Linked DNA regions of Astyanax mexicanus. The protein of the gene in region 1 binds, or shares a complex with, the protein of each later gene. Links are inferred from orthologs where the notes say so. Each region holds a gene or a part of one and is shown in the gene's direction. Other genes may lie near its edges.

Evidence for each region.
Region 2: kat6a (region 1) and brpf1 share a complex: the UniProt entries of both Homo sapiens proteins name them as parts of the MOZ/MORF complex. The link is inferred for Astyanax mexicanus from reciprocal best matches to the Homo sapiens genes KAT6A and BRPF1.

The regions. Positions count from the first base shown.
Region 1 is NC_064429.1:37,473,137-37,485,945, reverse strand, and holds the start of kat6a (histone acetyltransferase KAT6A), read left to right. Parts: upstream 1-6,033; 5' UTR 6,034-6,311; coding exon 6,312-7,010; intron 7,011-12,809. UniProt on the Homo sapiens protein: Histone acetyltransferase that acetylates lysine residues in histone H3 and histone H4 (in vitro). Component of the MOZ/MORF complex which has a histone H3 acetyltransferase activity. May act as a transcriptional coactivator for RUNX1 and RUNX2.
Region 2 is NC_064419.1:13,069,991-13,082,857, forward strand, and holds the start of brpf1 (peregrin), read left to right. Parts: upstream 1-6,931; 5' UTR 6,932-7,519; intron 7,520-7,595; exon of another isoform or gene 7,596-8,084; intron 8,085-9,170; 5' UTR 9,171-9,210; coding exon 9,211-9,947; intron 9,948-12,867. UniProt on the Homo sapiens protein: Scaffold subunit of various histone acetyltransferase (HAT) complexes, such as the MOZ/MORF and HBO1 complexes, which have a histone H3 acetyltransferase activity.

The DNA.
Region 1 (12,809 bases):
GTTTACCTTCGGTACAACTCCAGGCATTTACAGTGTGACTGACTGACCGTACAACATCTTCTCTCACTTCACTCATGCTCAATTAGCCTCTCCCCTTTTCTAAATTAATTTTTTTTCACTGGAACTGAAAAAGAAAATAGATATCCTACCTACAAAAAGATATAGCTATGCCTTAAACATGAAATACTGTCAAATTAGCATTTTGTTAAATGCAATTGCAGATTACCACCCAAAAGGGAAATGTAAGTTTTAGGATTTCTATAAATATTTCTGAGTTACCTTATAAATTTATTTAAATTGCCTGAAACCTTTGTCCTGTGTTTTATCATCATCAAAACATGGGTAATTAAAGGAAATCTTTTTTCCTAAACTTTTCCCATTTTCTCCCCAATTTAGCACAGCCAATTACCCAACCCACTAATCAGTGATGCCCCAACACACCAGGAGGGTGAAGAATAACACATGCTTCCTCTGATACATGTGAAGTCAGCCACCGCTTCTTTTCCAGCTGCTGCTGATGCAGCATTGCCGAGCAGCATCACAGCGATAACGCTCGGAGGAAAGCACAGAGTCTCAGTTCTGATACATCAGCTCACAGACGCCCTGTGCTGCGGACATCACCCTTTAGGGAAAGAGCGCCATCTACCCACCCGGAGGGAGCAGGGCCAATTGTGCTCCCTCTGAGCGCCGGCCGCTTGATGGTAAAGATGGATATTGGTATTGGTATCTGCAATACTGGCCCTGTATTTACTTGGTATTGGATCGATAAGAAATTTTGCAGTATTGCACAGCCCTTGTACGAACCCTGTCATACACACACACACACACACACACACACACTTCTACAACTACAACTCCCCACGCTTCACTTTTCGTTTCTGAACAGGGTGTGTGAGTTTGGCGACGCTCCCTCACTCCGCCTCTCCCCCCCACCTCCACCTCCTCCCCACCAGCGCTCCTGTTTCACTGAAAGATGGCGGCCGCTCCGGAGCCTCCGCTCTCTGGCTGCGCTGCTTCGGGCTTGTTGTTGTCCGCGTTCCTCTCGGCTCCTCGGCGCGCTCTCTGCGGAGACTCGACCTCAAACCCCGGTAAGCGGCGGGGCTGATTCAGCCGGCTTTAAAACGCTCTTTTCTGTGTTTGTTTATTATTTTTATAAAGGGAGGGAAGAGGAGGAGGAGGAGGAGGGGGGAAAGGGAGAGGGTCCGTCCCGGTTTGAAACAACCCAGCCTGGGAGGGGGAGGAGCGGGGGGACGCGGGGCTGTGGAGCTCGGGGGGCTGCGGTTAGAGGGGACGATCGGTAGGGGGCGCAGCGAGAGCGGGGAAAACTCAGAGCGCTAGCCGGGGCCCGCGTCGCGCTGCCGGGCTGAGCCTCCTGCGCTGGACCGCTCTCGGGCTAGTAGCGCTAGCGGGTGTAACCTGGTTAGCTTAGCTATGTTATCTACCTTTCTTTCGCGGGGTTTGCTTATACATTTACACGGTGATTAACACTATAGATTTTCTTAAAAATCTGATTTAGCTCAGATTTAGCGATTTAAAAGCTTTTTCTCGGGAAAAATTGGAGGCCGCGCAGAGCTAGAATGTAAGCGGGGGGAAGAAGGAGGAGGAGGAGGGAGGGAGGTAACTAGCCAAGCCAAGCTAAGCTAGCTATCCAACCTATGGAAGAATCGTGATTTTATGCTTTAAAAACGAACCTTTCGCGCAGTAATATGGATAGATCTGTAGTTTAGAATGCGTAGATGTGTTTGGTAAATATATTTCGCACATATTTTGTGTAGAAATGTGCACAAAATGAGCGTAAAACGAGAGGAATCGTGCCCCGTCTCCTCGCGCTTCGCTCCTCGCATTGTGTGTGTGTCGGCAGGCCGCGGCTTTCTCAGTGGGAGATCGGCTAATGCTAAGCTAACGCTGAAAGCTAACGCTAAGCTAATGCTAACAGCCATAGGAAAACGCACGGAAAATAGAGAGCTGGTAGGCTAAGCTAAAAACTAAGCGCTTTCCTCTCTAACGTGTTTTTTTCCTTACGCATATTTTAAACCTGCTTTTGCGTTGTTGGACATTTTTATTGCGTATTTTAATTCGTTAATAATATGTACTCCTTCTTTTTTAACCTAAATACCTACATTTGTTGCTTATCTCTTATAACTTAACGTTACCTCTGTTCGGACTGCATTGTGGATTTGATATGCTAATGCTAAAGCTAATGCTAAGCTATCGAAAGAACCACGTACGAAAATAGCTAACTGAAGCTAGCCAGCTAACCTGCCTCTGTGTGTGTGTTTTCGTACGTTGTAACGGGATTTAAGCCTGTTTTGGTTTGTTTTACGTGTTTAGTCTTCGTTTTTGTTCGCAGACAGTGTATACTTCTTATTTTTAACGCAGATCAGACACGTTTTTCTCCGATTTGTTTCATTTTCCTCCCTTTTTCGGCTGCATTTTTTGGATTCGCTATGCTAAGCTAACCCAAAAGAAACTCAGGATAGCGGGAAGGTGGTTGGGTATGTAAGTTAACTATTAGTATCGTAGCTTTTCTGTGCTTTTTATATTTATAGTTTTTATCTTTAATAGCGATATTTGTATTTTATCCCATTTTGAACGTTTAAAATGCGTGTACGTTTACAATAGATTTGTTAAACACTCCTTTTTAGTGTGGCTAGCTAGCTGTTATATCTACAGTAGTGTTATTTCTGTTGTTAGTTAGCGTAGGTTAGCTCAGTGCTTGTGTTAGTGTTATGTTTTTACCTAGTTATTTCATATGTTTAAGTTTTTGACATGTTTGAAGTAAATCTGTATTATATTTCTGTGTCAAATAGGCTTAAAACGACTCGGTTTTCAAAGCTGTTAGCTGTAAACAGACTTGGATAGGTGAGCTAACCTAAGCTAGTTGTTTTGAAAGTAACTTAGTCCTAAATACTTAAGTTGTTTCCAACTAAAATCTAAAACTAAATTTAAAAACTTGTAAGGAGTGTAAACACGTGTTTTCTTCTGCTTGTTTTGTTTTGGTTGTAGCCTCTGTCAGGCATGCTCCTCTTCAATGCTTTTTGTTGATATCCCGAATTAGATCCCTTAAATCTACTGTTTCAGAGTTTTAATGGTGATATTCCTTGTATTTACAAATTTAGAATGATTTCCGTTGGTCTTTTTTATTTAGCAACTTGTTTCTTGGCTAGCCATCGCTGTGTACATCCTGTGTTTAGCTCCATTCAAAACAATAGTGCAGTTTTGAGTTTCCTCTGACTCTGAGAGTACACACACAGGCCATAAATACAGTAGAACTTGGTCAAAAAATGTGGCTTCAAAACTTATTGTGCTGTTTTTAGCAGTGGTGACTAAATGAAAAATTATAAACAAGTTTTCTTCAGTCTGCTTGGTTTTGTTTTTGTTGTAGACTCTGTCAGGCACACTTCTCTTCAGTGCTTTTTGTTGAAATCCCAAATTAGATCCTTAAATCTTGTGTTCAGGGTTTAGCCATTGCTGTTTACATTATCTGTTCAGCTTTCATTCAAAACAGTAGTGCGGTTCTGAGCTTTTTCTAAATCTGAGAGTACAAACACAGGTCATAAATACAGCAGAACTGGGTCAAAAACTTTAGGATAAACCATAATTTGTGTTTTAGTAGTGATCATAAATATATTTAGTGTGTGTATTTGTGTACTTATATGCTTGTGTCCTTTACAAAGACTATAATGCAGTAAAGCTAAGTAAATAGTTAAAGTTTAATTTGGGGAATGTGCTTTCTGTTTCGTTAAGGTTCGCAGTAAGTTTCCTTAAGAACTAAGCAGTAAACATGCACAATGACCTTTATCAATCATAGTGTACATGTTTAATTTGAATGGGATTTGTTGCTGTATTAATTGAACTCGGCTGAAGTTCCCCAAGTGGATTTAGTCTTAATTTCTGCCGTTCTGAATAAATAAACATCGGAGTCACTTTGACCAGTTTACACCTGCTGACTGCAGGAATTTTGCATATCAATAAGGATTATATCTGGGCAGATCCACATTAACAATGCTAGTTTAAACGCACGCAGAGTGAATTTAAAACAGATACGAAAATCAGATCGCTCTGACCACTTCAGGAGGAAGTCTGAGACCTATTTAAACTTAATATGTCTATACAAGGAAAGTACCACAACTAAAACACTTCCCAAACCAGTGGAAAACAGTTGTAATTACCATTCCATGAGAGATTTTCAGATTCTGCCCAAATATCTGTCAGATATCTATATCCGGCTGACCCACATGGCAACAGCTTTAGCCTCAAATAGGCTTTTTTGCCTAATTTCTGCCATTCTAAATAAATATACTGAAGTAATGTTACATTTTGTCAGTGACTGTCCCAATGAATGTGAAACAAGCAAAGCTCTATTGTTATCGTACATCCTCAGTGTTTTCTTGTTTGCTTTTGTATTTTTTTTGCAGTTCTCATTAGTGAATGTAGTGTAGGCCAAAGGAGATACAAGGTCTTGGGTGTGGAGACTAGGTTAACCTTTCTTGTATGAGTTCAGCGCAGGTCAGGTCAGTTTGTTTGCTCACCTGTCTGAGTTTACGTATCAAGGAAATGGATGAGTTTTTAATCTGTGGAGTCGCTGAGATGTTTTCCGTCAAGAAGATGGAGAGAGCTTTTTGTTTATTTTGGGGGGCTGAACTGGTGAATATTCCAGATTCTGAAGATGGAATAGCAGCTAAAGCTGTGTACTTATTACCAGGCTGAAGTGACTCAAATCTTAATTATTTGCTTTAATGTGAACAGATCTGTTTTTATTTTCTGGGCTGAGTATGGGAATGCTAAAGCTGCCAAAGTCACTTTGACCAGTTTACACCTGCTGACTACAGGACTTAATTTGGATTATCAATCAGGATTATATTTGGGTTAATCTTTATTAACAATGCTAGTGTAAACATGTGCAAAGTGAATTTAAAACAAATACAAACTTTAGGAGGTGGTCTGAGACCTTTTTAAACCTAAAGTTATAGCAGTGTAAACACACCTGCCTATACAAGACATATTACACAACCAAAACACCTCCCAAACCAGTGAAAACACTAGCGATTTGGCAGATTCTGCCCCAAACAGCTATTATATATTTCCTAAACCTTCAAAAGACTTTTGGAAACTGGAGATAACTGCTTCAGGAAGATGTCTGGCTGACCCACATGGAAACAGCCCCTTTAGCCTTTAGCTCAGATTAACATGATTTGGACTAAGTCTCAGTTTCAGCAGAGAAGAGAAGAATTTGAGTTAGTCTGACAAGTGAAGAAGTGCAGTAATAAAGTTATTGATAAGCTTAAGATAAAATAAAAAGCAGCTACTGGACTACTAAACAATAGGGGTGTTTTTAAAACTTTTAAATTGTAGTATATATTGTTTTAGTTCACAGTGAGGAGTTTCTAAACCTAATATATGTTATAAATTAAAAGCACACATTATTTAATGCTATTTCTAGAAGAATATAATTTCTCTTATTAATTTCTGTATTTTTTTTTTTATCTTTGTGTTTTATGCAGAAATCAGCAGCGGCTGAAGACCAGCTCGGCATGAAGGTGATCTCCTCCTGAGTGGACGGTTTACTGGATTTACTCCCGACCTTCTGCGAAAAAGTGTAAAGCGTGGACGGCGGTGGAAAGAAAGGATAACGGACGGATAAAGAGAGGAGAACCGCTGCGTGACGTCCACATTACCCTCTGCATTATTTTATTTTTTTGTTTTTTTTTTTTGTTAAATTTTTTTTTTCCACGGCCACAAACTGAGGAGATTATACATTTTTCGATTGGATAAAACTTCCTGATCTCATTCCTTATCCTATCTCTCGTACCTTTTGGAGTTTAAAAACATTTTCTTCGTCTTTTTTTTTTCGGGAAGACGCCGGTTGGTGTCCACCAACATATTGCAAGCTGCTTCACGTTCTTCAACGTGGAATTGTCCCGGACAAGCCCAGCCGTGATTGGGCGTTCTCTTTTAGCTGTGGTGCTACCCAGCAGTGGTAGGAGGGGGGTTGCTGGGGTAGCTAGGACCTTTTTTTGGGGGTGGGGGGGGGTAAAAATCTGGGGTAGGTGGTGGGGCTAAAAGCTAATGCTATGGTGATCAGCCCCCTCCCTCATTGCTTCTGCTCAGGCTTTGAGAGACTTTCCACACGGCCCAGGGACAAAGGGTAGTCTCTGAGGACGTCCAGGAGGAGGAGGCGCGGGCGAGGAACGGGTGGCGCCGGGGCTGAGGCCTTTGGGTGCTTCCTGAACGGTTTTCGTGCGCTTGAGCGTTCGTTTCGTTCGTTCGTTTGTTTGTTTGTTCGTCTGTGTCTCTAACCGAACGCAACCATGGTGAAGCTGGCCAATCCGCTCTACACCACCTGGATCCTCGAGGCCATCAAGAAGGTGAAGAAGCAGAAGCAGAGGCCTTCTGAGGAGAGGATCTGCAATGCCGTGAACATGTCGCACGGCCTGGACCGCAAGACGGTCTTGGAGCACCTTGAACTCAGCGTCAAAGACGGGTCCATCCTCAAGGTCTCCAATAAAGGCCTCAATTCCTACAAGGATCCAGACAATCCTGGTCGCCTCGCTCTTCCCAAGCCGCGAGGTGGAGGTGCGAGCGGCGGAGGAGGTGGAGGTGGAGGCGGTGGCGGTGGTGGTAGTGGTAGTAGTGGTGGTGGTGGAGGTGGTGGAAGTAGTAGCACCTCCGGTTCTTCCAAAAAGCCAGGCCTGGACTGGAACAAGCTGATCAAACGTGCTCTGGATGGTCTCCACGAGGCCGGAGGTTCTACCATCAAGAGCATCGAACGCTTCCTGAAGTGCCAGGCCGACGTGGCCGGCTACCTGTCGGGCAGCGGCTCCATGGGACCCGGCATCTTCCACCAGCAGCTGAGGCTGGCGCTGAAACGCGCCGTAGCCCACGGCCGAGTCGCCAAGCAGGGGCCGCTCTTCCGGCTGATCAGCCGCAGCTCCCACAGCGACGGCACCGGCTGCGTATCGCTGGAGTCGCTGCCTCCCGTTCGCCTGCTGCCGCACGAGAAGGATCGGGTAAGAAACGACAAAAGCACCAACACTTATGTAATATGTTTTATTTTATCATTTAGCATTGGTGTAGCGTAGAAATGGGTCTGATTTTGGTTTTGGCGACAAAAATGACCTTGGCTTCCAACCACTGTGTAGCTAGCATTAGCTTTAGGGTTTGCTTTATTGCGTCCAACAAATATAGCTCTGGAAAAAATTAGACCACTTAAAAATGATTAAATTTATTTTGATTTTACCAAATTGAAAACCTCTAGAACATAATCAAGAGGAAGACAGGTAATCTTTAAAAACCATCAAACCACCAAACTGAACTGCTTGAATTAATTTTTGCACCAGGAGTAAAGCAGCATAAAGTTATCCAAAAGCAGTGTGTAAGACTGGTGGAGGAGAACATGATGCCAAGATGCAATATTTGGTTATTCCACCAAATATTGTGAACTTGTTTTCTTTGCACTATTCAATGTCTGAAAGCTCTGCATCGGTTTTGTTATTTTTTTAATGCAATTTCTGCAATTTTCCAGTCATTTTCTGTAAATAAATGCTCTAAATGACTTATTATTACTAGGGAGAATAAGAATAAAACAACAATGTTCATTTTACTCAAACATAAACCTATAAATAGCAAAATCAGAGAAAAGGTGGTCTCATTTTTCCCCCAGAGCTGAATAACTTGTAGTTTTCCGCAATTCCATTGCGTCTGTGAACAGGTTGTGGTTATATCTTATATATTTATGGTTGACTGGCAGAAATGTTGTGTCCACTTTAAGTAGAGTATTTTTGAGAGCAACTAAACGCAAAATCCTATGTGTTTGCGTCCTTCTGCAAACAGCATACTGTATATATATATATATATATATATATATATATAATTACTGAACATATTAAGACTGGATCAGACTAAATCTGAACAAACTTACTGTAGAACTGTAGAAGATTCCCTTTCCCACAGGATAATCGCAGAGAATAGTGTGCTATGCCCTTAAAGAAAATATCACAATATTTCAGGTTACTTTTACGATGATAAGATTCTTGGCAATTTGGCAAAACGTTGAAAAAATAAAAATGGGAGCAAAATTAACAAAAAAATTACTTTGGAGATATTTTAACATGGAATATACATCTCTGTAAAAAATGAAGAGATCACTTCAGTTTCTGAATCAGTTTCTCTGATTTTGCTATTTATAGGTTTATGTTTGAGTAAAATGAACATTGTTGTTTTATTCTATAAACTACAGACAACATTTCTCCCAAATTACAAATAAAAATATTCTCATTTAGAGCATTTATTTACAGAAAATGAGAAATGACTGAAATAACAAAAGACCTGTACTTGAAGGATTGCAGAAGCCATTTAGCCTCAGTTCTTTTATTTATTTATTTTTGAGAGTTTTCACACCTGAAGTACTTTACCTTCTACTCAGGTGAAGCTTGTTAATGAGCTGATTAGTTGGATCAGGTGTGTTGGGTTCAGGTAAAGAGCGGTAAAGTGTGCAGGGCAGGGGATTCTCCAGATCGTGGGTGTTAAGCTTCACACCCTAAATGTGTCCTGATTGATTGATTAATTGATTTATTGATTGAATACAATTAAGGAAAGTGGAAACAGTTGTGAACAGCACTTTTAAGGCTGTTGTGTACGTGGTTCAGAAGCAGAGTAGAAGCACAACCGTTCAGAAATAGCCCACTCTTTCCTTAATGAAAGAAAGAGCTTCAGTCTAAACCACATTAGAGCGCTGGAGGCGGATGTAGCGTAGCGTTTAGCTCATATATACACACACCACCCGGCTTCTTATACCAACCAGGCTACTTTCAGTTTCTATTTCACACCAGCTTCAACTTCAGTGCTGACTTTCAGCTAATAACTCACATCAGCATCTAATACACTGTGTACAATATATGCTTGAATGAATATATTAAGCAGAAATTACTGTTTCTTTACAATTTCCTATTTCTGACTGGCAGAATTTGACAGAGCAACTTTTAAACCTCCTTTAAATGCACGGCATATGGGTTAACTAGTTAGCAGGGATGTGTTTTACAAAATAGGAGTTTCCCGTTTAGTTAATTTTAGCTTAAAGTTAAGCCTGTTCTATCAAAAAGCTTAACTATTGTTTTTGTTTTGTACAGTCCTCAAGTTTAAAATGTGTTCATGCTAAATCACACTCCATTTACAGAAAAATAAGCTACAGAACGTACATAAAAACATCAAATTTACATGTATACATCTTTTCAGTTTATCAGTTTTAGCTCCACCCAATAAAGTGATCTTTTGAGAATGTGAAACATATTTAAGTGCGTTTTCACACCTGTAGTTGTGAAGGTTTCTATGGTCTGAATCAGTTGATGAGTTTGTTTATTTGGAGCTTCAGTTTCTCCCTCTGTTTGGTTTGTTTTCACACAGGCACAAAAACCTTAAACGCATCAAAATTCGCACAAATAAACCACGCAAGCACGTCATAGTCTCCTCTGATTGGTCAGAACTGTCTAATATTGGAGTAAGAAAGTATACATAGCGAGAAGATTCTATGTTCCAGTGTGTATATCTTTTATATCTGTGCGGTGTGAAGCTGCTTTAACACAGGACGCTGAAAAATTGACATGGCACTGTGTTTTTAATATGACATGCAGCAGTTCAGATGTACACGTATTAAACGGAATTGCTCGGCTGTAAGCAGTGCACACAGCTCATACCGCACTCAGTGTGTAAACAGCATGGAGCAGCAGATACAGCGTTTGTTCATAGCTGTGGTAATTACCATTAGCTGGCTAATATATCAGATTAAACTGCGCTATATCAGGAGTTTAACTCAAATAAAAAGAGTATATTTGATAGCTGGGTCAGATTGAGACCGTTACTGTTTTCACACCTGCTCAATTGAACTGCACTAAGAGTACAAACCAATCAGAGTCCATTTTAACCAAACCAAATAGTGCTGTGCTGGTGTGAAAACGCCCTAAAAAAGGTGGTTGGAGAGGGAAATTTGTTTAAATTAAGTGTTTTTATGGAGTTAGATGTGGGACAGGTTTTGGTTATTTTTAGGGTTAGGGTTTTGGTCTAGTGATCTAGTTGAAATATCTTGAAGACAAGTGTGTTTTGGTGGAGTAATCCTGTACGATGTGCGTCAAAAATTGAGGGTTTTGGTGGAGTGATCCTGTGGGAAGAAAGTTGTTGTTGGTGAAAGTGTGTTTTGCTGAAGTAATATGAAGTGTGGAACAGAAAAGCATGATTTTGGTGTTTGGACAAAAGGAGAGATATTTGGTAAAATTTAGTTTTTTTGTGGTCTGATTGTTTGTCCTGTTCTGGTGTAAGTGGTAAAATTTTTGGTGAAATTAGGGTTTTGGTGGAGTGATCATGTACGATATGGGACATAATATTTAGGGTTTGGTGGAGTGGTCCAATACGGTGTGGGACATAAACTTAGGGTTTTGGTAGAGTCCTTTATGATGTGGGGTCGGCACTTAGTTTTGGCCACGTCATATATTTTCTAAGCCATTTTGTTGCAGGTAACAAAAAAAAAAAACCTTTTTTTGAAAATGAAGCAGGTAAACTTAAGAAGTAAGGAGAAAAGACAATAACTGAACACACTGCTCCTCACGCGGGATCCAACCCGTGTCCTCAGGGTCGCGGCCCAATACACTAACGCTGCCTCGGCTAGTGAATTGGGACATGACCAGGAAAAAACAACCTTATAAGGAGAACGAGAAAAAACAAGAACTGCCGAGAGCGACAGAGAGAGAGAGACAGGGGAGGGATGTAAACAAAAGCTCACCAGAGAAGCATTTTATTTATTTTATTAATAAAATTTTTTCATTCATTTTTTCATTATTGTTCATTACAGTTCAAACAACCTCACGAGCCAGATGTTTCACGCTTGCTGACCCTGCTGTACGATGCGGGGCATAAAAATGTGATTTTGGTGGAGTAATCCTGTACGTTATGCGTCAAAAATTGAAATTTTGGTGGAGTAATGATCCTGTGGGAAAGAAAGTTAGTTGGTGTTGGTGAAAGTGTGTTTTGTGGGGGTGATGTGATGTGAGGTGTGGGACAGAAAAGAATGATTTTGGTGGTCAGACATAAGAAGAGAGATGGTAAATTTTGTTGGGTTTTTTTGTGGTCTGGCTTGTGCGAGTTTGTGAGGGTGTTGGTTAAATTTTGGCGGAGTTGTCCTGTCATATGTGGAACAGAAAATTTATTTGGTAATATTATTATTTTTGTGGTGGTGTCCTGTTCTGGTGTAAGGGTCCTGGAGAAGCTGTGCTGTCGATATATTGAATACAGCCGTACAACGATGCGGGGCATAAAAATGTGATTTTGGTGGAGTAATCCTGTACGTTATGCGTCAAAAATTGAAATTTTGGTGGAGTAATGATCCTGTGGGAAAGAAAGTTAGTTGGTGTTGGTGAAAGTGTGTTTTGTGGGGGTGATGTGATGTGAGGTGTGGGACAGAAAAGAATGATTTTGGTGGTCAGACATAAGAAGAGAGATGGTAAATTTTGTTGGGTTTTTTTTTTGTGGTCTGGCTTGTGCGAGTTTGTGAGGGTGTTGGTTAAATTTTGGTGGAGTTGTCCTGTCATATGTGGAACAGAAAATTTATTTGGTAATATTATTATTTTTGTGGTGGTGTCCTGTTCTGGTGTAAGGGTCCTGGAGAAGCTGTGCTGTCGATATATTGAATACAGCCGTACTATGGTACTATTCTGAACAGTATAGAAGATGAAGGTGTGTAAATAACAGGTTATGAAGTGTTATGAAGTTTTGGGTGGGGTGTTCCTGTGTGGTGGGCGGTGGTGGCGATGGTGCATGATGGGCGGTGGTGGTTTAGGGGGATGTGGAGGGGAGCGCTGTGGTTGGTGGGTGGCTGCCAGGCCTGTTTTCCAGTCTCCGCCTGCAGCTTTAAGCACTGGAGGGACTGGGAATGTGTGAGGGACGGGAAGAGAGGGAAGAGTGGAGAGAGAGAGGAAGAGGGACGGATGGAGGGAGAGAGAGGGGGAGGAGTCACGTGACTCCTCACATCCTGCTGAAGCTGGTCACCAGCTGCAGGGCTGCTCACTGTCTGAGAACGAGAGAGACAGTGTACGAGCTACAAAGGGGTGATGAAAAGGTGTGTGTGTGTGTGTGTGTGTGTGTGTCATTGAGACAAAGCTTCGTTCAGCATATGGTGCTTGTAGGACATACAAGGTTTCACATGTACGTGCGTTTTAGCGAAGCGCCAATGTGTTAGTTCAGGGCCAATATCTGCTATTACACGTTTATATCTACCAAAATACATATTACTAATTTATAACACCCCTGTATAACTTAGTAATAAACTATAAACTAATGTAACATTTATTAACCTTACATACCTTTAGCTTTCATCCAGCTGCATCCAAATAATACCATGAGGTTTCTCTACTGTCTTGCTTTGCCTCGCTCTACCTCACTACCTCGCATTACCTTGCTGTTCTGCTCTGCATTGCCTTGCTTTACCTCACTTTACAGCACTCTACCTCACTTTGCCTCACTCTACCCTGCTGCCTCACTTTGCCACACTCTGTTCTGCCTCACTGTACCTCGCTTTGCCTCACTCTATGCTAACTCGCTTTTCCTTGTTATTCCCTGCTTTGCCTCGCTCTACTCTGTTCTGCCTCACTCTACCTCACTTTGCCTCACTCTACCCTGCTGTACCTCACACTACCCTGGTTGTACCTCGCTTTGCCTCACTGTACTTAACTATCTTGCTTTGCCTTGCTTTTCCTCACTTTGCCTCACTCTACTCTGCTCTGCCTCACTTTGCCACACTCTGTTCTGCCTCACTGTACCTCACT
Region 2 (12,867 bases), on another chromosome or scaffold:
CACAGAATAATAAAAACAAGTGTGTATGATACAGTTAGGTGGCAACAAACACACACACGCTTTATATTTATGATACACTGCCAATTCTACATATTAAATTTTATATATTTTAAAATTCAATAGCTTTTAAACTCAATTACACAGAATAATAAAAACAAGTGTGTACGCTTTTAGCAACTGCAAGATGCCCACAAACATACACATTTTAGATTTTGAATGCTTTCCAAAAAACAGCCCCACTGCTTGTGAATGCAAGAACCTTCAGGGCACAGAAGAATTTTTCATTGATAACCCACTTTCAGCCCTACAGTGTGTCCATCAGTCTTTGGCAGTGTATCATAAATATAAAGAGTGAGCGTGTTTGCTGCCACCTAGCTGTATCATACACACTTGTTTTTATTATTCTGTGTGATTCGGTTTGAAAGCTATTGAATTTTAAAATGTATATAATTTAATAATTAGTTGAATTGGCAATGTATCCAAATTTTAAAGTGTGTGTGTGTTTGCTGCCACCTAGCTGTAGCATACACACTTGTTTTTTATTATTCTGTGTAATTGAGTTTAAAAGCTATTGAATTTTAAAATATATATAATTTAATAATATGTAGAATTGGCACTGTATCATAAATATAAAGCATGTGTGTGTTTGTTGCCACCTAACTGTATCATACACACTTGTTTTTAGTGTTCTGTGTAATTCGGTTTGAAAGCTATTACATTTTAAAATATATATAATTTAATAATTAGTAGAATTGGCAATGTATCCAAATTTTAAAGAGTGTGTGTGTTTCCTGACACCTAGCTGTATCATACACACTTATTTTTAGTGTTCTGTGTAATTCGGTTTAAATTCTATTGATTTTTTTAAATATATAAAATGTAATATTCACTAGAATTGACACTGTATCCAAAATATAAATGGTGTGCGTGTCTGCTGCCACCTAGCTGTGACATACACAGTTGCTGAAATGCTATTGAATTTGTGAATATATAAAATATAATAAAAAATTAGAGCATTTTGCATAAAAGTGCGCTTAGTTTTTCGGTATTAAAAGGGCGTTGCGCAAATTTCACCCAAACAGTAAAAGCAAGGGTGTGCGTCACTCTCTGTGGTCGTACTGTCCTGATTATGTAAGTATCTGCTGGCTACCATCCTCCGTTCAGAAGTTATTAGAGCCGAAATGTCGAATATCAAAAATGAAACTAACTTTACCGTGGTAAAGAAATATGGGTCATGCCGTTTTTGCGTGGATTACAGAAACTAAATGCGGTCACTAAGCTGGATTCATACCCATTTCCGCATATTGACGACTCTTTGGAACAACTATCTGGGTCCGCATGGTTTAGTACACTCGATTTGCGTAGTGGATATTGGCAAATTCCGTTAGCGGAGTCGGACGAAAAAACTGCTTTAACGTTTAAGACAGAACTATGGCAGTTTCGCGTTCTGCCGTTCGGGCTTTGCAACACGGCGGCAACATTCAAGCGTTTGATGGAGCGCGTATTAGAGGACATCCCCAAGTCCACCTGCGTAGTGTACCTGGATGATTTGTTGGTCCACGCATTGAGCTCTGGCAAATTTGGAGCTAGTATTGGGTCTAATTATTGCGGCTAATTTGAAGCTGAACCCGGTGAAGTGTAATTTACTGCAGAACAAAGTGAACTACTTAGTGCACGTAGTGAGCGAGGTGGGGATTGCGTTGGACCTGGAGAAAACTAAAGCTGTACTAGATTGGCCAACGGCGTGTAATTTGAAGACGTTACGTGGCTTTTTGGGGCCAGCGTCATACTATTGTGAGGATATTTGCCGATATTGCTGCGCCGCTGCATCAGCTGACGAAGGGCGGGACTAAATTCAAGTGGTCGAGTGAAGCTGATCATGCTTTTGGGCTGCTAAAGAAGCGCTTGTGTAAAACGTCAATTCTGGCGTACCCTAGACTGAACAAACAGTTTGTGGTCGATACGGATGCGAGCGACCACGGCATTGGGGCAGTCCTGTCATAAATTTACGACGGGGCTAAACGCGTAATCTCGTATTTTAGCAGGCGTTTGGATAAAGCGGAGTGGAACTACTGCGTTACACGCAGAGAGTTGCAAGCGGCTGTGGCTGGTCTAGAACAGCACTGGACTGTTGCTCAATTTTTGCAAGTCATTCGGAAATCAAGGTGCCAGAGTCTGGAGGAAAACTGGGGAGAAAGAAATGCCAAAATGCCTGAAGTCCAGTGTCAAGTACCCACAGTCAGGGATGGTCTGGGGTGCCATGTCAGCTGCTGGTGTTGGTCCACTGTGTTTTATCAAGGGCAGGGTCAATGCAGCTAGCTATCAGGAGATTTTGGAGCACTTCATGCTTCCATCTGCTGAAAAGCTTTATGGAGATGAAGATTTCATTTTTCACCACGACCTGGCACCTGCTCACAGTGCCAAAACCACTGGGAAATGGTTTACTGACCATGGTATTACTGTGCTCAATTGGCCTGCCAACTCTCCTGACCTGAAGCCCATAGAGAATCTGTGGGCTATTGTGAAGAGAAAGTTGAGAGACGGAAGACCCGACACTCTGGATGAGCTTAAGGCCGCTATCGAAGCATCCTGGGCCTCCATAACACCTCAGCAGTGCCACAGGCTGATTGCCTCCATGCCACACCGCATTGAAGCAGTCATTTCTGCAAAAGGATTTAGACCAAGTATTGAGTGCATAACTGAACATAATTATTTGAACGTTGACTTTTTTTTGTATTAAAAACACTTTTCATAATTAGTTGGATGAAATATGCACATTTTTTGAGATAGGGATTTATGTTTTTTTCTTTACTTTTTTTGCCAAAATCATCAATATTAAAACAATAAAAGTCTTGAACTACTTCAGTTGTGTGTAATGAATCTAAAATATATGAAAGTCTAATGTTTATCAGTACATTACAGAAAATAATGAACTTTATCACAATATGCAAATATTTTGAGAAGGACCTGTAGTTGCACCCCTGATACAGGATATAGCACTGAATCACAACACAAGTTAAAAATTATAACGATCTAGACCTTGGCCTGACAAAATACTGAATACGTACTGAATTCTAATTAAATACACCTAGCTGAGGGTTTCACATACTTTTTTCACCCTGCACTGTGAATATTAACAAGTTGTGTTCAATAAAACCATGCAAACATATATTTTGTGTGGTGTTAGTTTAAGCAGACTGTGTTTGTTTATTGTTGTGACGTAGATGAAGATCAGAACTCTTTAGTAATCCCCAAAGGATTCACATACTTTTTCTTGCAGCTATATATATATATATATATATATATAACTATATATGCACGCCACAACCAGAGTCGCCTGAGGTATGCAAAAGCACAGCTTTTGGGTCAGGCGACTCTGTTTGTGGCGTGTTTGCAGAAATGGCTTCTTTCGCATCACTCTCCCATACAGCTTCTCCTTGTGCAAAGTGCGCTGTATTGTTGACCGATGCACAGTGACACCATCTGCAGCAAGATGATGCTGCAGCTCTTTGGAGGTGGTCTGTGGATTGTCCTTGACTGTTCTCACCATTCTTCTTCTCTGCCTTTCTGATATTTTTCTTGACCTGCCACTTCTGGGCTTAACAAGAACTGCCCCTGTGTCCCTGTCTTTCCTTACTATGTTCCTCACAGTGGAAACTTCCCCTGAACAATTATGTTGATGAGCCCATGATGCCCCTCTTCAGAGGAGATTCAAATAGGAGAACAACTTGCAATTGGCCACCTTACACCTTACAACTTACACTTGGCTATGAAGTTCAAAGCTCAATGAGGTTACCAAACCAATTTTGTGCTTCAGTATGTCAGTAAAAAGTAGTTAGGAGTATTCAATAAAATGATAAGGGTGCCCATACTTTTGCACCTGTCACATTAATGCATATTGCACTTTTTTTTGGCAGAAATAATGAAAGAAATTATTTATGTGGGCCATTCTACTGAATGGGTGCCATTTGCTTGTTGTAATTCTTCCAAATTAAACATTTTTTCTCATCTTTTTTTAACTCTGAATCTAATAACACATGTAATAAACTATTCAAAACATGTACTGGTCAATCTCAGACAGTTTTACTTAATTATTTTGGTTTCTAATTCAAAAATGGTTACAAAACACATGTGACGTTTAAAAATCATTCTTAAAAGCAAGTGCACTAATAAAATACTTTTCCCTCAAAGAGTTTTTTTTTTAAAGAAATGGTTAACTGCATGTTCAAATAACATATTTATGGAATGAAAGGACTGAAAGTAACAGGACTGAGTCCTGCATAGCATAGAATTAGCAAAAACATGAAAATAGCTAAGTGGTGGCTATGCTAATAACATGAGGACACTGAACACATTCTAGTGATTTCCCAAAATTTGTATTTTAAAAATAAACAAATACTATCTAAGAATGAATTTAGGTAACAGGACAGAGTGCTGAGATCGACCTCACGTTTTACTGTAACAGGACTAAGTAATAACCCAGGGACACAACTAAAATGTGTATTTTAAGTTAAATATTATGGATTTATTACGCAAAAAAATATTTGTACAACATATATAGGATTTGGAGTCACACAACAATGCGAAAAATACATCTCTGAAGGATTTTAATAATTAGATTTGATGGTGAAGTTCATAGTTAGAGAGTGGGGACGTGTAACTAATGCTATTCTTTTAGTGTTCTATTTTTTTATTAATGTTTTTAATTACCTCATTAGACAAATGTACAAGACGCTATGCTTAATTATAAAATGTATTTTAAAGTTATTTTGTGTGCACATTTATACATTTATACCTGGGGACAGAAATGGCACCTATTCAGTGGAATTGCCCATAATAATAAAAAAATAGAGATTAGTTATGCAACATGAAATGTTAAATTAATTTATTGATGCAGTGTATAAATAAAATAAATACACGGAAAAAGCTTGACTAAATAAACTGAACAAAAGGTTCAGATTTGTATACAGAAGAAATGTGTTAAAAGAATATTATTTATTTATACACTGAATTTGTGATTATTGGCATTAGTTTATGTTGCATATAAATGAGTTGTGTTTTTATATTCTTATTCTCTTTTACATTTTCTATTTTATTTAGTAATTATTTTTATTTTTATTTTAGCAGTTCTGGTTCTCTATAGTGTATAAAGACCAGGGACACACAACCGTAATTAAATTCTGACCAGTACAAATAAAAAGAGCAGCGGCTACATTCAGCCAAAGGGATCACAGAAAAGAGAGAACAACGGGTCTGTTGCAGGACCAGAGCTGTTTACTGAGAGTCTCACCGCTTTATTTCCCCGTTTTATCCTTAAATCACTGTCACACTATGTCCTCTATGAACAGGTGTGAATGGACCCAAAAGCTAAAACCTTTAAATTAAAAATAGTAATTAGAAACTTATTCTGGATATTTCTTCAATTTTAGAAAGTATTATAATTCATTTTACTAAAAAATGTAAAGAAAGCGTAGCGTTATTTCCTTTTTTCTACAGTAAACAAGCTGGCTTTACACTGTAAAGATGCTGCATCTCTGCTACTGTGATCTGATTGGTTGATAATCTGATGCTGGAGTTACACAAACTTAAAGTAAGGCCTACAGTACTGAAACATTTGATATAGTTCTGTGTTTCAGTATTAAATTGATCAGACATTTATAAACCTTTTCCATCAGTTGTTCCACATAAACCCATTTATTCTCCTCTCTAGAGATTCTCTGGTTTGGCATTGCTGGTTTTAATGTGCATTTAGTTCTGGTATGTTCTCTTGATAAACGTGTTTTCTAAATAATAATTTGTTTATGCAAAAAAAAAAAAAAAATCTGAAAAGACTGGAGGCTAAACTTTTCAGAGATTTACCTGTTCAGTTATTCCGGCTTTACTATATCACCTGAGCAATTTTCCTCTTTACCTTTAATGGGGTGCATCCCTATTTAGTATAAATAAAATGTAACAAATCAGACTTATTGTGTGTATATATATAAAATCATTTTTGTACCTTGTAACACAAATCTGATGTTTTAAACCAAATTGCAAAATGCAAAAATTGAAAAATCAGCAAGTAAATGGTTCATTTTTTCATTTTTCCTAAAATAGTGAGGGGCAGAGATGAAAAACTAAAATTGAAAAATGGATAAATTTTTTTTTCTCTTGTACACTGCACAACATAAAAAAAGAATTAATCTATTTCTACATCCAATTTTCAGGTTTTTTTTTTTTTTTTTTTGCATTTAACCTCAAACTGTCTGGAAATTTAATAAAAAAAAGTAACACTGACCAACAAAACAAAACCATTATTTCTTTTTTTTTTACATGGTACAGTGTACAAGAGATTTTTTATCAATTTTTCTCATTTTATTTTTTTTTTCTTCTCTGTCCCTCACAATCAGAATTTCAGGAAAAAATTAAATGAATCTTTTAGATTTTTCAGATTTTTGCATTTTGCAAGTTGAATTATATCATCAGGTTTGTATTACAAAATGTCCAAAAATGGACAAATCTGAAAAGAAGATTCAACTTTTCATTTTTCTTGAAATTCTGTTTGCGAAAGGATAAAATGAAACACTAGATAATTTAAAAATTGGAAGAAAACCTATTTATTCTTCACTATCACTATACTAATGCCCAAATTTCTATTTTCGAATTTAGCTTGATATGGTCAGAAAATGAAACTGCTAAACCAACTAGGGTAAGATTTTGCAACAAAAATTAAATACATTTTTTTATTTGTCATTTTATTTAAAAGGAATTCCCCACCCTGTATGTTTCCACTTTTACACATTAAATACATTTTCCCCACAATAAATACAGGAATATTAAATCTCTCCGACAGACTGGGAGAGACCCGTAACTAACCGCTTACTGTGAAATGTATCCACTGATTCGCGAAAAGGTTCAAAACAGGCTCAGGAAGGAAGTAGCTAACTAGCTAGCTAACCCGAGCTAAGCTAAGCTAACTAACTAACCAACATACATAGGCGAGTTTTAGCCTGCGCGAGTTTCCGGCAGTGCAGGCTTTATTTATCTAATAAATTTAAAGTTCACTGTTTAGATATATAACGTTACATATTTTTAATGAAAGCAACAACTAGAGGTGGGTAACCCAGGTCCAAAAAGTAAAAATCCACCCCAGGCTCTGCCGCAGCTTAGCCGCCCAGGCCGTTGGTACAAAACCCTGGGGTGGATTTTTATTTTATGGACCTGGGTTACTCACCTCCTCACTCTAGTCGTTGGCGGCCACAATAATTACTGGCTTGTCATGTGAAAATGGCGAATGTGCGGCCACGCGCCTGTGGGATTCAACTGTAGCCCCTTTTGTTCGCTTCAGTTCCTGTAGCTTTTATTCTGTTTTCAGGCTGATTTACGGGGGATTTCATACGTTTTAACCCGCTGTGATTAAAGCTGTGTCGGCTCAGATTCAGGGATATTTTCTGTGTGAATCTCGCTGGTTTTGGAGCGTCTCCGCCGGATCTTGAGCTGGATATTGTGCTGCTGTTGACAAGAGAAGGCAGGAGGAGGAGTGAGTGTTTCTAACAGTTCCTTCTGTTCTGGGTGGGAGAATTACTGCCTTTTACTGGATACAGAGACCAGTTTAGGGGTCTCTTTAGCTGAACTCGCTCACCATACAGCTCTAAAACTGCTTATTTTCAGATTTAGCTGGTTAAGATGCAGACAGGTAGCTAGTGCACTAGCTGGGCTAGCCTCCCTGCTGCTCGTTCACTGCAGTGAGTGAGGGAGCTGCTGGTGGAGCTGTAGAAGTAAATACATTACCTATGGTTACTGTAACCACGGGTTATGGAACACTGAGAGGACTAATCTATTTTAAAGCAGCAAATTAACAAAACAGGCATTTTAAACCTATTTTTTGCTGCTTAGTGACTGTGGCAGTGAGTAGGCAGTTCTCTGTTAGAGGAGCCTGAGGGAGGAGAGCCACTGGAGGGAAACATTGAAGCTACAGAGATGCTCTGAACTTATAGCTAACCAGGCTAATCACAAACTGTGGAAACACATTTCCCGCCACGCGGAAAAAAGCGAGGGTCCTCCACTAAGTTACAATTGCGATATTAAGTCATAATTATGAGATGGTAAGTCACGATTACAAGATAGTAAGTCATACTTCTGAGTTAAATCTGGGGGTATGAAATTAGTGGTATGAAAAAGTATGGGCACACCTGATCATTTTTTATGATTTTCCTGTATAGGTCAGTAGTTTGTTAGGATCAGCAATTTCAGTTAAATATATTCTATAGCAGACGAACACATTGATATTTGGGAAGTGGGTTTATAGAATTTACAGAAAGCGTGTAATAATTCTTTAAACAAAATTAGACGTGCATAAATTTGGGCACCCTTGTCATTTTATTGATTTGAATCAATAAAGGTTAAGGTGAACAATTGCAAGTTTTTCTTCTGCATCTTCTCTGAAGCGTGACAACATGGGAGCTTTAGAACAACTCTCAAATGATTGTTCAACATCATGGTTTAGGGGAAGAGTACAAAAAGAATACAAAAATTTCCACTGTGAGGAACATGGAGAGGAAATGGAAGACCACAGGCACAGTTCCAGTTAAGGCCTAAAGTGGCAGGCAGTTAAAAAATCTCAGATAAGCAGAGGAGAGGGATGGGGAGAACAGTCAAACTCAACCCACAGACCATCTCTAAAGAGCTGCATCATCCTCTTGCTGCAGATGGAGTCACTATGTCTTGTTCAACTATTCAGCACACTTTGCACAAGTAGAGGCTGTATGGGATAATAATGCAGGAGAAGCCTTTTCTGAGCACACGCCACAAACAGAGTCGCTTGAGGTATGCTGAAGCACATTTGGACAAGCCAGCTACATTTTTGAAATAAGGTGCTGTGGACTGATGAAACTAAAATTGAGTTGTTTGGGCATAAACAGCCTTCTTGCACACTTTATTTCACTTCTCAAATTTCACTGTTTGTCTGCTATATGATGAATTTAACTGAAGTTGCTGATCTGAACAACCATTGATTTATAAAGGAAAATCACAAAAATATCAAGGGTGCCCAAACTTTTCATACCACTGTATCTTATTTATGAGGTATAATTGTGACTTAGCATCTCGTAATTATGACTTGGTGGAGGACTCTGAACAGTACATAGTGCACTCTTTTAATTCCATTTTTATTTTCTTTCCTTTTTTACCAGATGTAAGCTGGACCTCTTCTCTGCAGGGTCTGCGGACAGCATGGGGCTGGACTTCGACGTGAAAACATTCTGCCACAACCTACGGGCCACCAAACCGCCCTACGAGTGCCCTATTGAAACTTGCCGCAAGGTCTACAAGAGCTACAGCGGCATCGAGTACCACCTGTACCACTATGACCATGACAACCCACCTCCCATCCAGAGCACACCCCAGAAGAAGCGTAAGGGTCGCCCGCCGCGGGTCTCCCTCTCTGGCTCGGTTGACGGGGCAGACTCCAGCGGTGGGCCTGGACTGCCCGGGCAAAGTGGAACGCCTGGCAGTCCGGCGGAGCACTCTGAACACTCCCATTCTCCTGAAAGGGAGACTATGACTTATGCCCAAGCTCAGCGCATGGTGGAGCTTGAGATCGGCGGCAAAGTGCACCGGATCAGCATTTTCGAGGACCTGGACGTTGTGTCGGAGGAAGACAGCGATGCTGAGGATGCACCTGCCTCTGGTGCAGGAGGCTCCACTGCTTGTAATGGGGGTGATGGGGGCGGGACTGATGGCGGGGGTAACGGGAAGGACAGGCCAGACACCCCTGGTGCAGCCAATGGGGGAAAGGGGACTGGGGCCACACCCAAATCCGGTAAACACAAGAGTAAAGAGAAGAAAAAGGAGGGTTCGCATCATCATGGTAACATGGCTGGCCCGGCTGTGAAGTTGCCGGAGGCTGTGTTCCGAGAGCTGGATCAGGAGAGACCTGATGCACCACCACGGACGCTGTCTTATTACAGGTAAGCATTTAGGCATCTTCTGCTCATATATTCTGCGTTAAAGTTATGCTTTATCAAGAATCAAATTTACACTGAGTGTAGTCATTTAGCCAGGATATGACTTGGTGTCCGTATTTCTTGCTTCTTTAATTTGTTGCTTAATTTAAAAAAATTAAATGCGAAAATATAGTGTTTCTTTCAAAATCTTCATCTAATGAACATATGTATCTGTAAACAAAATCCTTGATAGTGGTTTCTAATGGTTCAGTGTAGAGGAACTAATGATATCACTTTATTTGCATGGTTCATTAAAGATGCCTTGTAGATGCTCACTTATTATTTAAATTTACATTTAACTAAAAATTTGTTCCATGCAACTGACCCTTCAGCTGAATGAAAATGTTTCTCTATGGACTATACACCTAACTCTAACGCTCAACCCTAACTCTAATCTTAAATCAACTCAAAAAATTTAACCCCAAAAATAACCTAAACTTAATCCTAAACCTAAACCTAAAATAGTAAGGTTTTGGGTACAGGTTTAGGGTTACATTAAATAGAGAATCATTTGTTTTACTTGCAATTAATAGATATATTGATGCGTCTATGAAGCATCAAAAATGGACGCTCCAAGTAAAGTGTTACAGTGAAACCAAATGATTTGTATTTAATGGAAACCAAGGACTGCAACACTCTGCATGTACACATCCACCACTGTAGTTTAAAAAATTATTCTCAGAAAAACTCATGCAAAAATAAATAATATAGTATGAACCTTCTAAACTTCAATGGAATTCAGTGTAAAAGGACTGAAATTCATGTCATTTTGGAGCATTTTTACAAAAAGTAAAAAAAAAAAATGAATGTACAATAGTTAGGGGTGGGAGTTTATATTAATTAGATATGGAATGGAATTAATGGAATCATGGAATGGAATTAATCTGCGACTTTCAAAATAGGAAAATGGAGATCCTTTACATATAGAAGCTGCAGAGTGAATCTCAGTAGACAGACTGGTATATTTGCTTCTGTCAGAAACCTTTAAAGAACTTTTTTTTATATAACAGAGATTTTCAAATTTTACAATTTTTCTTATATGTAACCAAAATATAAATAGGGTTAGGGTTGTCACAATACCAAAATTTTGACTTCGATACCGATACCAACTGTAGTATCACGATTCTCGATACCAAAACGATACTTGGAAGAAAAAAAACAATAAAAATATCTGAACATAAAATGTTTATTTTTGACTGAACTGGATTGAACACTGAACAATCGGTGCAAACGTTTTTATTCTAAAATGAAACATTTGAACAAAAAAACAAGTTTCGTTATTATAACCTTAACTATAACATAATTATCTAAACACTTCCTAAAAACTAAAACTAGAACCAGAGGTAATGGTAGCCTGACTATGTGAACCTGACGGGCGGGCAGAAGTTAAGTTCTGAATAAGGAAAATAAAGAGACAGAAGAACGTTACAATGTTATGTTCATTTTAACACTGACTGCTCCGTTTTATTAATCAACCGTTTACCGTTTTTAATAAGCCCATGTTCAGTGTAACGATCAAGCAGGCTATGTGCCTGACCACAGATTTGCGATGGAAACGCGAAAACGTGAACATCCTGGCTGTTTTCGGGCTGTTTGAATGAGCGAAATATGATCAGAATTATGTTAAATAACACTGTAACATAGAAGCATAGAACTATTATTTAATTAAAATGATTTTTAAGAACAGCTAAACACAGTGCTGCAGGTCAAACGCGGAGGCGTTCACGTGCGAGAGAGACAGAGAGAGACACAGAGAGAGAGACACAGAGAGAGAGACACAGCAAGAGTGAGAGAGAGAGATTTGCGTGTTCTGATGTGAACTACTCACAGGTAAAGATTCTCTTTTATTTCCTCGTGCTCATATTCTAGTCCCACACATAACTCTGCAGCTCCCTCAGTGTTTTCTGTCGTATTTTGCGGCTAGCGCGAGCGCTTACAACTAACACCGCGGGCCGTGAGGTGCCGCCACGCTTGTGCCGAATCCGCTACTGAATCCGACTCCCGCTTCGCGGACAGAATCGGCACAACACCCCCCGCTGTGCAACTGCGGGAGTGAAAACAGTGCTTATAAATAAAGTAGTTTAGTTTCACTTTCAGTTTTCGTTATTTTATTTAAAAATAAAAATATAAATAAAAAACAGATGCCTGCATCTCAGACTATTTTCTGGAGCCCGAACCCGACCCGGCCCGAGGAATGTGGTGGGAAATCTCGGCCCGAACGTGCCTCGGGTCAGTTCGGGTTCGGGCAGAGAATCTAAGCTCTACTCCTCTGCACTGGATAGACTTATAACACCGTTTACAAACTGGGTTTGTGGTGTTGGTCGGATGCCCTTCTTCATCAGCGATGTAAGCAAAATTTGCCCACACTTCACTCCTCGCGCCCGTTTTGTCCAAGTCGCGGACGAGAGACATCTGTTATTTTAGCTGTCGCCATTCTACACTCGCTGCTGCTCTGCTGGCTTGCGCGTGCGTGTGTCGCTCTCAACCGAGTCAAATGAATCGATTCACACGTGAATCGATTCATTTGTTCAGAACACTAAGTTTATCTGAATCCTGCCACTCCGACTGCTGCGGTGTGAATCAGTTTTCTTATGAACTGAATCAAATCGCGCCTACTAATTTGACTCATTTGAAGCTAGTGACTGGGCTATGTACAGTATCGAAAGCATCGAACGCTAAAGAACCGAATCGTTTGTGATGACGTAGTATCGAAAAAGAATCGAACCTTCGGTACACCGTGCAACTCTAGGTTATATATAAAAGCTGCTTACTGTACGTTAAAAAAAATTTATATAGTTGAAATGAAAATGTAAAGAAAACAATAGCTTGCACATAACTTTAAAGAGGCACTAAACCCTAAACTATATTTTGTAATAATAGCTGA